Linked DNA regions of Canis lupus familiaris. The protein of the gene in region 2 purifies or fractionates together with the protein of the main gene of each other region. This does not show direct contact. Links are inferred from orthologs where the notes say so. Each region holds a gene or a part of one and is shown on either strand. Other genes may lie near its edges.

Region 1 (4,061 bases), on a different chromosome or scaffold from region 2:
CGGCGCCCCCCGCCCCGCCCCCCGGTGCCCGCGGAGGCGCAGGGGCCCGTCGGGGGCGCAGCCCGGGGCCCCCTCCCCGCCCTCCCCGCCCGGGGACCTGCGCAGCCTCCGCCTCGGGGCACCGAGGGAGCGGGTGGGAGCGGGTTAGGGGCGCAGGGGAAGCACGGGGAGCGCTTGGCGCCACGGTCCGCCTCCACTGGGTGCAGCCGGTGCTGCTCTGGGGCGGGGGGCTCGGGAGGATCAGGGCGCCGCGGGACGGGCTGCGGCGCCGGAGCCCTGGGCGGGGGCCGCGCGCTCTGGGTTCGAAGCCGGGAAGGACCTTCCGCTGTGAAGGTCATTGAAGAGCCCAGGGGAACGGCGTTGCGTTCCTCCGCTTTTTATCCGTGTTCTTCAAACCCAAGGCGCGGATCCTCTCCCGTGCACGTGAGTCCGAGCTGATGAAGGTCCGGGCACGATGCACAGAGAAGTTAACAGGCTTTTAGAATCGAATTTGGCTCATTAGCATACAGCAATGGTGCAGGGGGTCCCCGTGTGTAACAGTAACCTCTTCGCTCCTGACTGTTGAAGGACGGGTTACTATTCACACTGGGCGCAGTGTCTCCTGTCTAGTGAGGAAATGTCCAGAAGAAATGACTCCGGATGTGTTCCTCGGTCCCTGAGCACAATTACATAAACTGCTTCAGCACAAGGGCTCATCTTCTCCTTGCCATCCCCAAACACATACTCCTAGTTAATCTTGGGATTAACTCCTAAGTCAGGGTTTCTAAATACTAGACATCTCCTGGAAACCAATCCCCTAAGGGATCCTGGTGCAGTGATTACAAAGTAACTAATAAAGGTTACCTTGCAGCTCCCCATTCGGCTACCGGGGCTCTTTGGTCTCCTGAGGTTAGTAGACAAAGGAAGGCCAGGAGGGTCGGAATTCTGGCAGTTGGTGTTGGGCTGTAGGACTAGAAACAGACCTGCAGCCCCCACGCTGCACTCTTCCCCCGCTGTCCCCACCTGCTCCGGGTGGTGTTCTAGAATTTGCTCAGCCAAGTGGTCAGCGTGAGGTTGGGATAGGAGGCAAGGACAGTGTGGCCTCCTGTTGGTAGTACTGAGGGTGCGGCCACTCCCTGGGGTACAGAGGATATCCTAGGTCAGGACTCCTGCTCTGAGGCATTGTGAGCAAATAATTTAATCTCTTGATGCCTGAAGATGCTGTTGGGAAATGCAGTGGGGCTGTCCTGAGGGGAAGGGTATGTAGCCCATCACCAGGTTTGTGGATGAGTGGGGAGGCCTCTGGGGGAAGATGACTCAACCTTTCAACCTCTCTGCTTTTGAGAGAATTCTCTTTGTTGGGTGAGTGGGAAACTGCATTGTGGTCTTCACAGGTTTAAAAAGTCCCTTCTCTTCATTTAGTGAGTCAAATAGTGAAACACGCATTTTCCCCAGTTAAGTGAAAAGTGGTTGTCCAGGTTGTCCCTGCTCTCTGTACTCCCCTAAGAGCTTAGGTGCAGCGTGACACAGGCCTGTGCCCAAGTAACGTAGTCTATGCACCTGCATTCCTGAGACTTCCCCAGGGGACACGGCAGTCCTTTGTGGGAGGGGGGCCTGTTATGGTTATGAATAATGATGACTGAAAGAATGTCCTTGAACTCACCTCTGACTTGAGTCAAAATAGATGGACATTAGTCTCTTCCAGTCTTAGTTTAGCTGCTCTCATTCTAAGCACTGCGTTAGGAGTAAATAATTTTGATGTTGAATTCATAGTTTAACAGAAAGCATTTTTGGGTGTCTAATAATTTGCCAGTGACCTGGCCAATTTGGTAGGGGGGACTCCAGACAGAACTAGGACCTTGTACAAGTTGCTTCTGTGCCTTGGATGTTGTGACATTAATGGGGTGGGGGGTGTCACGGGAAAAGCCATTTTATTTCTTAAAGCTGTGTGTTTCTTAATGTTGAGGCAGTGGAAGAAATGAGGAAATGACTGTGAGCTAGGAAAAACCCAACTCTTGCATTATCAACTCACACTACCCTGGTTCTAATTTATGTTGCTTCAGCTTGTATGAAGGCATGTCAGGATGTGTTATTTTGGCCAAGAGCTAAGACTGAGCTCAAGGTAGGAGAAAATGACTCATTTGACATTTTATTTCTGAATCATTCCAAACGTCTACAGTCAAATCTCAGTTAGGTGGTACCCCACAAGGATGAGTCGCCCGTTTGAGCAAAGTTCTCTTGCAGCCTTGTTGAGGACGTTGGGAAATGTAGAAGTGGTTTACTCGGTGGGAGATGCTGTAGGAGGGGAGCCTGGCTGGCTCAGCCAGTAGAAAGGGCGACTCTTGATCTTGGGGTCGGGAGTTTCAGCCTCATGTTGGGTACAGAGATTACTTTAAAAAAGAAACATTTTTTAAAAGTCCTCCAGGACTGTGAGTCATCACTTTAAACCTCAGTTCTGGTCCAGCTAGGACTAGAGCTAAAGGAAGAGCGTTCTTAATGCGAGCATGCTCTGGGAACTTGGGTTTTTCACCACGAGCCCGTCTCAGACTAGACCAATGAATAGTCTGCTTGTTTGGGGCTTTGTTAAGGAAGCTGTTTGGGGGAAGGTGAGCCAGGGTGGCTAGTGGATGGGGGTGTGCAACATCTGGTGGGCCTCTCTCTCAGCCTCCCGGTGTGACTGCTCAGCTCAGGGGAGGGGGTGTTGGCAGAGCCACCGAGTGGTGTGGCGCCCGCCCCTGCAGCGGTCTGTGCAGTTCTGCACGTAGGAAGGAGGGCCTGTAGGAAGGAGGGCCAGCCGGGCTGCAGTACCTCCGGCGGCCTCTGAGACTTACCTCCCCCACTTCTGTCCATAGCAAAGCTTCTGGGGAGCTCTAAGCCTCTCTTCCCTGACGCCAGCAAGCTATGTTTGGAAGTTAGGCAGGGGCCGTGGTGGGGGAGATGCCAAGCCAAGCTGTGACAGTGCCAGCTTAGCTGATATAGTTCGAAAAGGTCTCTGGAAAGGCGCCCATTCCTTCCGAGCCTTTGAAGTCGACCTACAGCTAGTACTTCTTTAACTTCAGGTAATTAGTGTCTTCCGTGTTTCCAGCGACGAGGGCAAAAGAATTAACCCGGTCAGTGAATCAGTCACGGTATAGGAGACAAAACCACGGGCAACTTGAAGGAGCCCTGGGAGTTTTAATCTCGTTAGAGGTAGGGAAGTAGAGGCTTTTGATAACTGGTATCTCTCTTTTGTTATGACATTAGAAAACAGGTTAATGTCCCCTATCCAGAGGGTCTACATTTTAAAGCTCTGACAATATTGAATGCTGGCAGAAGTGTTAGAGGGCAAGAACTCACATTGCTGGATGGTTGTAAATGGATATAACCTCGTTAGGGCCCTTCAGCAATATTTAGCAAAATAGAAAATAAACATACCCTGTGACTTAGGAATTTCATTTCTGGATATATATAGAAGCTCACACTTGCACATAGAGCCGTGTACCAGGAGAATTGTTGATTGCATTGAATAATAGGGGGAAAATTGATTGGGTTGCCAACCAGTAAGGGAATGCGTAAATAACCGATGTAGTCGTGCAGCGGATCGGCATAGTCGTTCGTATGAATTAACTAGATCTGTGTACCCGCAGGATAGATCTTACATGTGCTGAAAAAAAGCAAGATGTTTATTTGTACAGTATTGTACTGAGGGCATTTTAGAAAAACGGTGTCATAGGGATCAGTATAGATATAGATGCTTAAATGGATTAGAAGGATACAAAATTCCTGACAGTGGCTGGGTGTCAAAGTTCGTCGAAAGGTTGGAGGGCCCTGGGGACGGAGGGAAAATAAACTACAAAATTGTAATGGTTAAGAAAAAAAAGTCTACAGGAATTCTGGCTAAATGTTAGTAGTCAGTTCTGGGCGGTAGAAATACGGATGTTAATATTCCTTTTTTTTTTTCTTCAATTAAAAATAAAGCAAAATAGAAGCAGATCTGTGAAAGTCACTTTAGGAAGACCAGTTGTACTAACTAGGTCAGTGTTCTTGGAGAGCTGGGACTGCCCTTCCTCCTTTCATCCTCCCCTTCTCTCCCTCCAGCTATG
Region 2 (4,012 bases):
ACTGCCTGGCCAGGCAGTGGAGGTCCCCAAGTGTGGCCCTAGGGAGACCCTGCCCCTGCCTCTCCCCCACAACTTGCGGTCTGAGCCTTTTTGGAGAATGAATAAATATTTTACACAGCAGGAGGTGGCTGCAGTGGGCTCTGGGGGCTGGCCCCAGGGGCCCGCCCGGCCCTCGCACGGCAGCCCAAGCTCTCCCGGTGCTCCCTGCACCCAAACCAGGCGTGCGCGTGTGGCGGGTGTGCGAGGAGCTGGGGTCCTCACAGGCAGCGGAGACTGCAGCCCAGCCGGTCGCCCGCCCTCCGAGAACCCTGTGGCCCGGGCCCAGCAGGGTTCAGCCAGCCTGGCTTCTCTGCGCTTCTGGGCCGGCGCGGTGTCCTTGCGGGTGGCCAGGCTGGGGCGGGTCCCACGCGGGGAGGGGTCCCGGGCCTGAGGTCCCGCCCGGGCGGGGACAGAGGGGGGCGGGGGCCCGGGCCCAGGCCATGCGGCGCTCGGGCCGGCTCTGCCTGCCGCATGCACCCCGCCTCCCCAGGGCCGCGGGCGGCGGGCGCGCGGCGGCCTCGGAGCTCCTGCAGCCGGGGCTCGAGCCTCGCCAGCGTCTGGGCAGGCGGCTCCCGCGCACCCCCGGGGTCACGGCCACGGGCCCCCCGGCAGGCGACGACACTCACCGGCCGGGCCGAGGTGGGCTGGGCGGGGTGGGTGGGGGAACCTCACCCGGAGCCCCGCCCCCCGCTTCCACGCCGGCGGCCACGTGCTCCTCCGCTCCGCCCCCGGTGGCCGCGGGGAGCCCTCTGGGGCCTGGGGAGGGCGGCGACGGAGCCTCGGGCAGCGGGGTTCGGCCGTCCTGCCACCGCTCCAGAGCTTCCAGCCGTCCCTGGCGGCCGCGGCACCTCCCCGTGCGGCGCCAGGACCGCAGCCCCGCGGCCCTCAAGGCCCCACGGCCGCGCAGCCAGCCGGCGGCCGCCTAGTCCGCGCGGGGCGGGGCCTCGGCGGGGCGGGGCCTAGGCGGGGCGGGGCCTCGGCGGGGCGGGGCCGCGCTTGTCGCTGTCCCGGACGTCCGACGTCGCGGGTCGCGTTCCCTCGAGCGCATGCGCCCAGTCGGTCCCGCCCCCCCTTGCCTCCGCGGCCCGTCGGACGCAGGCGCGCCCCCGCCCGTGCCGCTGGCCCCGCCCCGCGCGGCCGGAAGTTCCGGTGGCGGATCGCTGGACCGGGCCCGAGCGGATCGCGGGCTCGGGCTGCGGGCTCGGGCTGCGGGCGCAGGGCGGGCCAGACGCGGAGCCTGGGAGCGAAGCCCGGGCTGTGCCGCGCGGCGCTATGAAGGGCAAGGAGGAGAAGGAGGGCGGCGCGCGGCTGGGCGCCGGCGGCGGAAGCCCCGAAAAGAGCCCGAGCGCGCAGGAGCTCAAGGAGCAGGGCAACCGGCTCTTCGTGGGCCGCAAGTACCCGGAGGCGGCGGCCTGCTACGGCCGCGCCATCGTGAGTGCGCCCGCGCCGGGGGAGGGGGCCGGCGTCCGGGCGGGGGAGTGGGCGGGGCCCGGCTCGCGGCCCCGCGTCCTCCCCGGAGCCCCTGCCCCGCCGCTCCCGCCGGACCCTCGGGGCGGTCTTGGTTCGCCCGCGGGGGCGTTTGGGCCCCGAGAACTCGGTGCTGATCATGTTCCAGTCGAGCCAAGGCCGCGCGGTTCTCGAGCCAGTGCTGGTTGCTGGAGGGGCGGGTGGGAGCTTGAGGGGTGCTCGAGGCCCCAGGCCGGGACCAGGGTTCCTGTCCCTTGAGAAGCCCAGGCCCGAAGCTGGGGCTCTCCTCAGGTCCGGGAACCTCACCTTTACAAAACCTCCTGGGAGCCCCGAGAGGGTGGGCTAGCGCAGGCCTGAGGACCGGGAGTTCACTCTACAGCCCTAGCTGAGCAGAGGCTTCCAAGCTGAGAAATTTCTAGTGTCTGGATTTTAGCTACGGGCTCCCAGACCAGGACAGGGCCTAGGACAGGGCCCACGGAGCTTTTTCCCTCATGCTGGCTGGCCTGGCCTTGGTCCCCAGACCCGGAATCCTCTGGTGGCCGTGTACTACACCAACCGGGCGTTGTGCTATCTGAAGATGCAGCAGCATGAGCAGGCCCTGGCTGACTGCCGGCGGGCTCTGGAACTGGACGGGCAGTCTGTGAAGGCACACTTCTTCCTGGGGCAGTGCCAGCTAGAGATGGAGAGCTATGATGAGGCCATCGCCAACCTGCAGCGAGGTGGGCCTACAGGTTGTCAGGGGACGGCGGGGGCGCCTGGGACCAGGTGGATGGACTGGCCAGAAGGTGACCTGAAGCCCCTGTTCCCCCAGCCTACAACCTTGCCAAGGAGCAGCGGCTCAACTTCGGGGATGATATCCCTAGTGCTCTGCGCATCGCCAAGAAGAAGCGTTGGAACAGCATCGAGGAGCGGCGCATCCACCAGGAGAATGAGCTGCACTCCTACCTCACTCGGCTTATTGTGGCCGAGCGGGAGAGGTGGGCTGTGGTAGCGGCAGGCTCCAGGGCCCCACCCACCCCCAAGGCAGCACTCTGGGGTTAACTGAGTCAAGAACACAAGTGTTTATTGAAGGCCAGCACTGGCGAGCAGTTGGAGGGAAGAGAGACCTGAACAAGCCTGAGGTTGGGGTGGAGTGTGATCTCTTCTGGCCAGACCCATTCCTGACTAGCTCCTGGTCGACCCCCAGGGAGCTAGAAGAATGCCAGCGGAACCACGAGGGTGATGAGGATGATGGCCACGTCCGGGCCCAGCAGGCCTGCATCGAGGCCAAGCACGTGAGGGTGCCCCAGCCCACGTGTGGATGTGTGCGTGTTTGCGTGCCTGTGACTGGAGGGTGCCCGGGGGAGGGGGAAGGGGCATTTGGCCCACGCGTAGCTGCTTGGTTCTCCGCAGGACAAGTACTTAGCAGACATGGATGAGCTTTTCTCCCAGGTGGACGAGAAGAGAAAGGTAAGCTGTCTGTCCTCTGGGTAGCAGGAATCGGAGCCGGGTCCCCATCCTGGTGCCTGACCTGACTCCATGTGCCACAGAAGCGAGACATCCCGGACTACCTGTGTGGCAAGATCAGCTTCGAGCTTATGCGGGAGCCGTGCATCACGCCTAGTGGCATCACCTACGACCGCAAGGACATTGAGGAACACCTGCAGGTGAGAGCCAACAAGAGTGGGGAGCAGGGCCCGTAACCACTGAGCACTTTCTGACCTGCTGTCACTGCACACTGCAGCGTGTGGGCCACTTTGACCCTGTCACCCGGAGCCCCCTGACCCAGGAACAGCTCATCCCCAACCTGGCCATGAAAGAGGTCATTGATGCATTCATCTCCGAGAACGGCTGGGTGGAGGACTACTGAGGCCAGGCGAGTGCCAGAGCTGCCTGCCTTGCCTAGTACCCTGGCCCAGGTGGGCTTTGGGGCAGTAGCTCCCAGTTCCTGTACATAGTTTGTGTCCCTAGATCCCTGCCCTGGTGTCCCTTATCCCACCCTCATCAGTTCTGCTGCTGGACCATGAGCCCCACCTCCACCCCCTTCTGGGCCAGAAACAGCAGGTGAGGGTGGGCTGCTGCCACCACTGTCCTGTAATAAAACCTGTGAGCACTATAGGGGTGTGTGCTGGTGTGTGCTGGGCTCACCAGCCGCCCACTCTACCTAGCCGAGGAAAGTAGAGATAAAAACACTGGTGTCCAGGTTGAGCGTAGCATGCCACCACCGGTCAGGGAAATACAGCACCTGGTGGAGGGTGGGGCACAAGGATTAGCTGGTGGCGTGTGATCCAGCCTGACCCCTTCCTGCCACCTACTGACCTCACCAGCCTGCACGGTGCACTCCAGGGGCCTCTCAGATGGTGCCAGGGTTGGGTACACGTCCTGAAGCCAGGCCAGTGTGGTTTTGTTGGGGTGGAACTCAGGTGTCTTCTCAGGGGGATACAGGAACCAGCGCTGAGGGTGAGATCAGCCCGTCACTCCATGTTGGCAGGCAGTAAGCCCCAAGCCGCAGCCCCGGCCCGTGCTG
Region 3 (4,002 bases), on a different chromosome or scaffold from region 2:
AGCCTGGGGTGTGATCCTGGAGACCTGGGATTGAGTACCACGTCGGGCTCCCTGCATGGAGCCTGTTTCTCCCTCTGCCTGTGTCTCTGCCTCTCTCTCTCTCTCTCTCTCTCTCTGTGTCTGCCATGAATAAATAAATAAAATCTTTTAAAAATTAAAATAAAATAGTCTTTCCAGGGCACCTGGCTAATTCAATTGGTAGAACATGTGACTCCTGATCTTAAAGTTGTGAGTTCAAGCGCCGAGGTCAAGGTAGAGATTACAATTAGTCAATCGTCCTTCCATTCCTACATTATAATTTCTACCACTATTCTTATCTTCACCAACCTTGCTGTTCTTCTCATTTACCTCCTGAATTTCAAGTTCTCACAAATCTTATTTATCAAAGAGAAACGACAGCATTTGTTAATTCCTGTTGGCCACTGTCCCCATCCTAAATTCCCTAATAAACCTGCAATTACGCCTATTTCACCACTAGGTGGTGTTCTGAACAAATTTAAAGCAAACCAGAGTTCTCAGACCACCCCCACTCTAAATTTTAGATTTCCAAGAAAAAAAGCCTTTCTAATTTACAAATAGAGGCTGATTCCATTCACTTAATCCTTACCATCCTGCAACAGAAAAGGCATGCAATCACCCTCAACCCTTAACTAACACAGCAGATGACCTGTAATGGGCAGTCCCAGCAACTGTGGAAGGTAACAGAACATCACCAAGGTAACAGTAGTACACTGCAACCCTGAAAAGTGAATTTAAAATAACTCACTAAGGGCGGCTGGATGGCTCTGGTCAAGATCCCAGGGTCCTGAGATCTGGGATGGAGCCCCAGGGCAGGCTCCCTACTCTGCTTCTCCCTCTGCCCTTGCTGAGCTCACTCTCTCCAATAAATAAAGCAAGCCTTTAAAATAAGTTAAGTAAATAAAATTATAAACTTACTGAATTTTAAAGTGCCCTCTTAAATAAAACAAACTAAAAAATATGCAAACACCATCCCCTGCCCCAACCTGGTTTTTGAGTTTGCGAGTCAGAAACTACTAATGGTAGGGAGTAGAATCGTTTTAAAAGTGTCCAAAACAGGGGAGCCCTGGGTGGCTCAGTGGTTTAGCGTCTGCCTTCGGCCCAGGGTGTGATCCTGGAGTCCTGGGACCGAGTCGCGCATCAGGTTCCCTGCATGGAGCCTGCTTCTCCCTATGCCTCTCTCTCTCATGAATAAATAAATAAGATCTTAAAAAATATACATCCTTTAAAATAAATAATAAAGATGTCCAAAAACAAAGTGAAAACAGAGGAAAATGGTTCTACTCTTAATATTTACACCTACGAAAAATAATGGGCTTGCTGAAAGACAAAAGCTATTGTGTGCCACTTAATTGCAGGTGTACTATCATTCCTCGTCCATAATTTAGTCTTCAGAATATTAAACACCGCTCTCCACCCAGCCCTCCGGATAAGTCTGTCCCGCAGCCAGAAAAACCTCTCAAATACACCAATCTCAAATCAAGGAAACAAATTTAAAACACAGATTTTTTAAGTGGGTGCTGAACTCCTGTGAAATCCCCTAACTGCTCCTTAAGTCCCAAACCCTAAGCAACAAGTTGAGGCTTAGGCTCAGCCCACCCCACCAAGCCAATGTACTTCCCCAACTCCCATGCGCCTTATCCAGAACATTCCACCACTTACCGGCTACTATGCATAAAAACCACACATCCTTTTGTTACACAAACACGCAAGTACTAACCCCAAAGTAGTTAAAAGTGCACATTATGAACTTCCCAGGGAACCGGGGGTTGGGGTATCTGGGAGACGCGGGAGGGAAGCACAGTGCGGAAACATTTGGACCCGCATCATTATTCGACACGATTACAGCAGAAAAGCAGCAACAAGTTCCACGGGCTTGCTAACCCCTCCTCTCGCTGGCAGCCGACTAGTCCCGGCCAGAGCCGAACCTCCCCCCCCCCCCCCGCCCCCCTGCCAACCCCGGGCTCGCTCGAAGACCTTCCGGGACCACACGGTAGGCCACCTACCCTCCGTGCCTCAATTGTCCCCTTCCTTGGGCACAGGCTGACGTAAACCTCACTCCTATAAATCATGACACACTCTGAAGCAACAGACCAAACCGGCTGTTTGGGTGAGATCCGGGCGTTTTGCTCATCCGAAAACTTTTAAACAATTAGTGGGAAGTTCCGGGAACGCGGCTTCGCGTCTCCCGGAGCCGCTTCCTGGTCTCCGTGTTCGGGGCGTCCTCCCCCAGACTGCCACCCTCTGCAGACCTACCTCGTCTCTGGCTTTGGGGTCATCCACGTGGGGCTTTATGAAGAGTAAAAACCTGCCTTCCCGCGGCGGGGCCCCCGCCCAGCCCGCCCCCCGCCCGAGCCCCGGCCCAACCGCCGGCGCGGGGCGAACCAAGGGCGAAGGCCGCCCCGACCCCGGGGCCCGCCCCCGCCCCGGGCCGCGACTCCTGACCCCGGCCCCGCCCCGGGCCGGGCCCCCGTGCACCCAGCCCGACGCCCACGCCCGCCGCCCGCCCCCGCCGCCCCGGCCTCACCGCCGGCCCGGGCCCCGCCACCCCCACCCGCCGCGCCCGCGCCCCCGGCCCCGGCCCGGCAGCCCGCAGACACCCCAGCCCGACGCTCACCTCGGAAGGCCGGCCCCACGGCAGGCCCCAGATCCCCGACCCCGGGCCCGAGCCCCCCGCCCCGGCGCGGCCCCACACCGGTCCCAGGCCCGCCCCCCGCCCGAGGGCGACGCTCACCCAGGACAGGGAGCCGGCGGCGGGCAGGAGGCGCGGCGGGGCGGCGGCCCGGGTCCCCTCGGCTCCGGCACAGCGGCGCTGGCAGCGGCGGCGGCGGCGGCTCCTCGCGCTTTCCTTTCTCTCCTTTCTCCGACAACAAACAGGAAGTGCGTCACGCGGCGGCGGCACGGCGACGTACACTTCCGCCCGGCCCTGACGCCGCGCATGCGCCCCGCCCCGCCCGCGTTCCCGAAGGTTCGTCGAGGCCCGGCTTGGGCGGGGGTGGAAGGGAAGGGCCAGCCGCGGCGTCCCGGCGCCCCCGGGGGTGCTGTCCCGCGCCCACCCCACCGAGCGGCGGCCGTCACACACACTCAGCCTGGGCGGCCGGTCAGGAGGCCGGGCCCGCGCCCGCCGCCCCCCGCGACAGTGCTCTTTGTCGTGTCCCCTCTAGTAGCAGGAAAACAAGGTGACCGCGGCTCCAGGGACCGCAGAGCCTCCCCTGCCCCCCTCCTGGAACTGACCCCCACCCCCACCTGCAGAGCCTCAGCTGCCCCCCTCCTGGAACTGACCCCCATCCCCACCTGCAGACCCTCCCCTGCCCCCCTCCTGGAACTGACCCCCATCCCCACCTGCAGACCCTCCCCTGCCCCCCTCCTGGAACTGACCCCCACCCCCACCTGCAGAGCCTCAGCTGCCCCCCTCCTGGAACTGACCCCCACCCCCACCTGCAGAGCCTCCCCTCCCCCCCCTCCTGGAACTGACCCCCACCCCCACCTGCAGACCCTCCCCTGCCCCCCTCCTGGAACTGACCCCCACCCCCACCTGCAGAGCCTCAGCAGCCCCCCTCCTGGAACTGACCCCCATCCCCACCTGCAGAGCCTCAGCTGCTCTCCTCCTGGAACTGATCCCCACCCCCACCTGCAGAGCCTCAGCTGCTCTCCTCCTGGAACTGACCCCCACCCCCACCTGCAGAGCCTCTGCTGCTCTCCTCCTGGAACTGACCCCCACCCCCACCCCCACCTGCAGAGCCTCAGCTGCCCCCTCCTGGAACTGACCCACATCCCCACCTGCAGAGCCCTAGCTGCCCCACTCCTGGAACTGACCCCCATCCCCACCTGCAGACCCTCCCCTGCCCCCCTCCTGGAACTGACCCCCATCCCCACCTGCAGAGCCTCAGCTGCCCCCCTCCAGGAACTGATCCCCACCCCCACCTGCAGAGCCTCAGCTGCCCCCCTCCTGGAACTGACCCCCACCCCCACCTGCAGAGCCTC

What was found. The genes of interacting proteins can lie anywhere in the genome.
Region 1: the proteins of STUB1 (region 2) and PKM purify together in Homo sapiens (affinity purification with western blotting; 3 studies listed by BioGRID, with this or other methods). This does not show direct contact. The link is inferred for Canis lupus familiaris from reciprocal best matches to the Homo sapiens genes STUB1 and PKM.
Region 3: the proteins of STUB1 (region 2) and DNAJB6 purify together in Homo sapiens (affinity purification with mass spectrometry; 4 studies listed by BioGRID and IntAct, with this or other methods). This does not show direct contact. The link is inferred for Canis lupus familiaris from reciprocal best matches to the Homo sapiens genes STUB1 and DNAJB6.

What each region holds. Positions count from the first base shown.
Region 1 is NC_049251.1:36,175,227-36,179,287, reverse strand, and holds the start of PKM (pyruvate kinase PKM), read left to right. Parts: upstream 1-1,205; 5' UTR 1,206-1,291; coding exon 1,292-1,341; intron 1,342-2,901; exon of another isoform or gene 2,902-3,038; intron 3,039-4,061. UniProt on the Homo sapiens protein: Catalyzes the final rate-limiting step of glycolysis by mediating the transfer of a phosphoryl group from phosphoenolpyruvate (PEP) to ADP, generating ATP.
Region 2 is NC_049227.1:40,363,649-40,367,660, reverse strand, and holds STUB1 (E3 ubiquitin-protein ligase CHIP), read left to right. Parts: upstream 1-1,198; 5' UTR 1,199-1,311; coding exon 1,312-1,470; intron 1,471-2,026; coding exon 2,027-2,225; intron 2,226-2,317; coding exon 2,318-2,483; intron 2,484-2,543; exon of another isoform or gene 2,544-2,692; coding exon 2,693-2,780; exon of another isoform or gene 2,781-2,898; coding exon 2,899-2,955; exon of another isoform or gene 2,956-3,035; coding exon 3,036-3,152; intron 3,153-3,229; coding exon 3,230-3,355; 3' UTR 3,356-3,603; downstream 3,604-4,012. Other genes in the region: JMJD8 (jmjC domain-containing protein 8), read right to left, coding at 3,650-3,730, 3,805-3,939. UniProt on the Homo sapiens protein: E3 ubiquitin-protein ligase which targets misfolded chaperone substrates towards proteasomal degradation.
Region 3 is NC_049237.1:20,508,733-20,512,734, reverse strand, and holds the start of DNAJB6 (dnaJ homolog subfamily B member 6), read right to left. Parts: upstream 2,857-4,002; 5' UTR 2,753-2,856; intron 2,325-2,752; exon of another isoform or gene 2,275-2,324; intron 1-2,274. UniProt on the Homo sapiens protein: Has a stimulatory effect on the ATPase activity of HSP70 in a dose-dependent and time-dependent manner and hence acts as a co-chaperone of HSP70. Plays an indispensable role in the organization of KRT8/KRT18 filaments.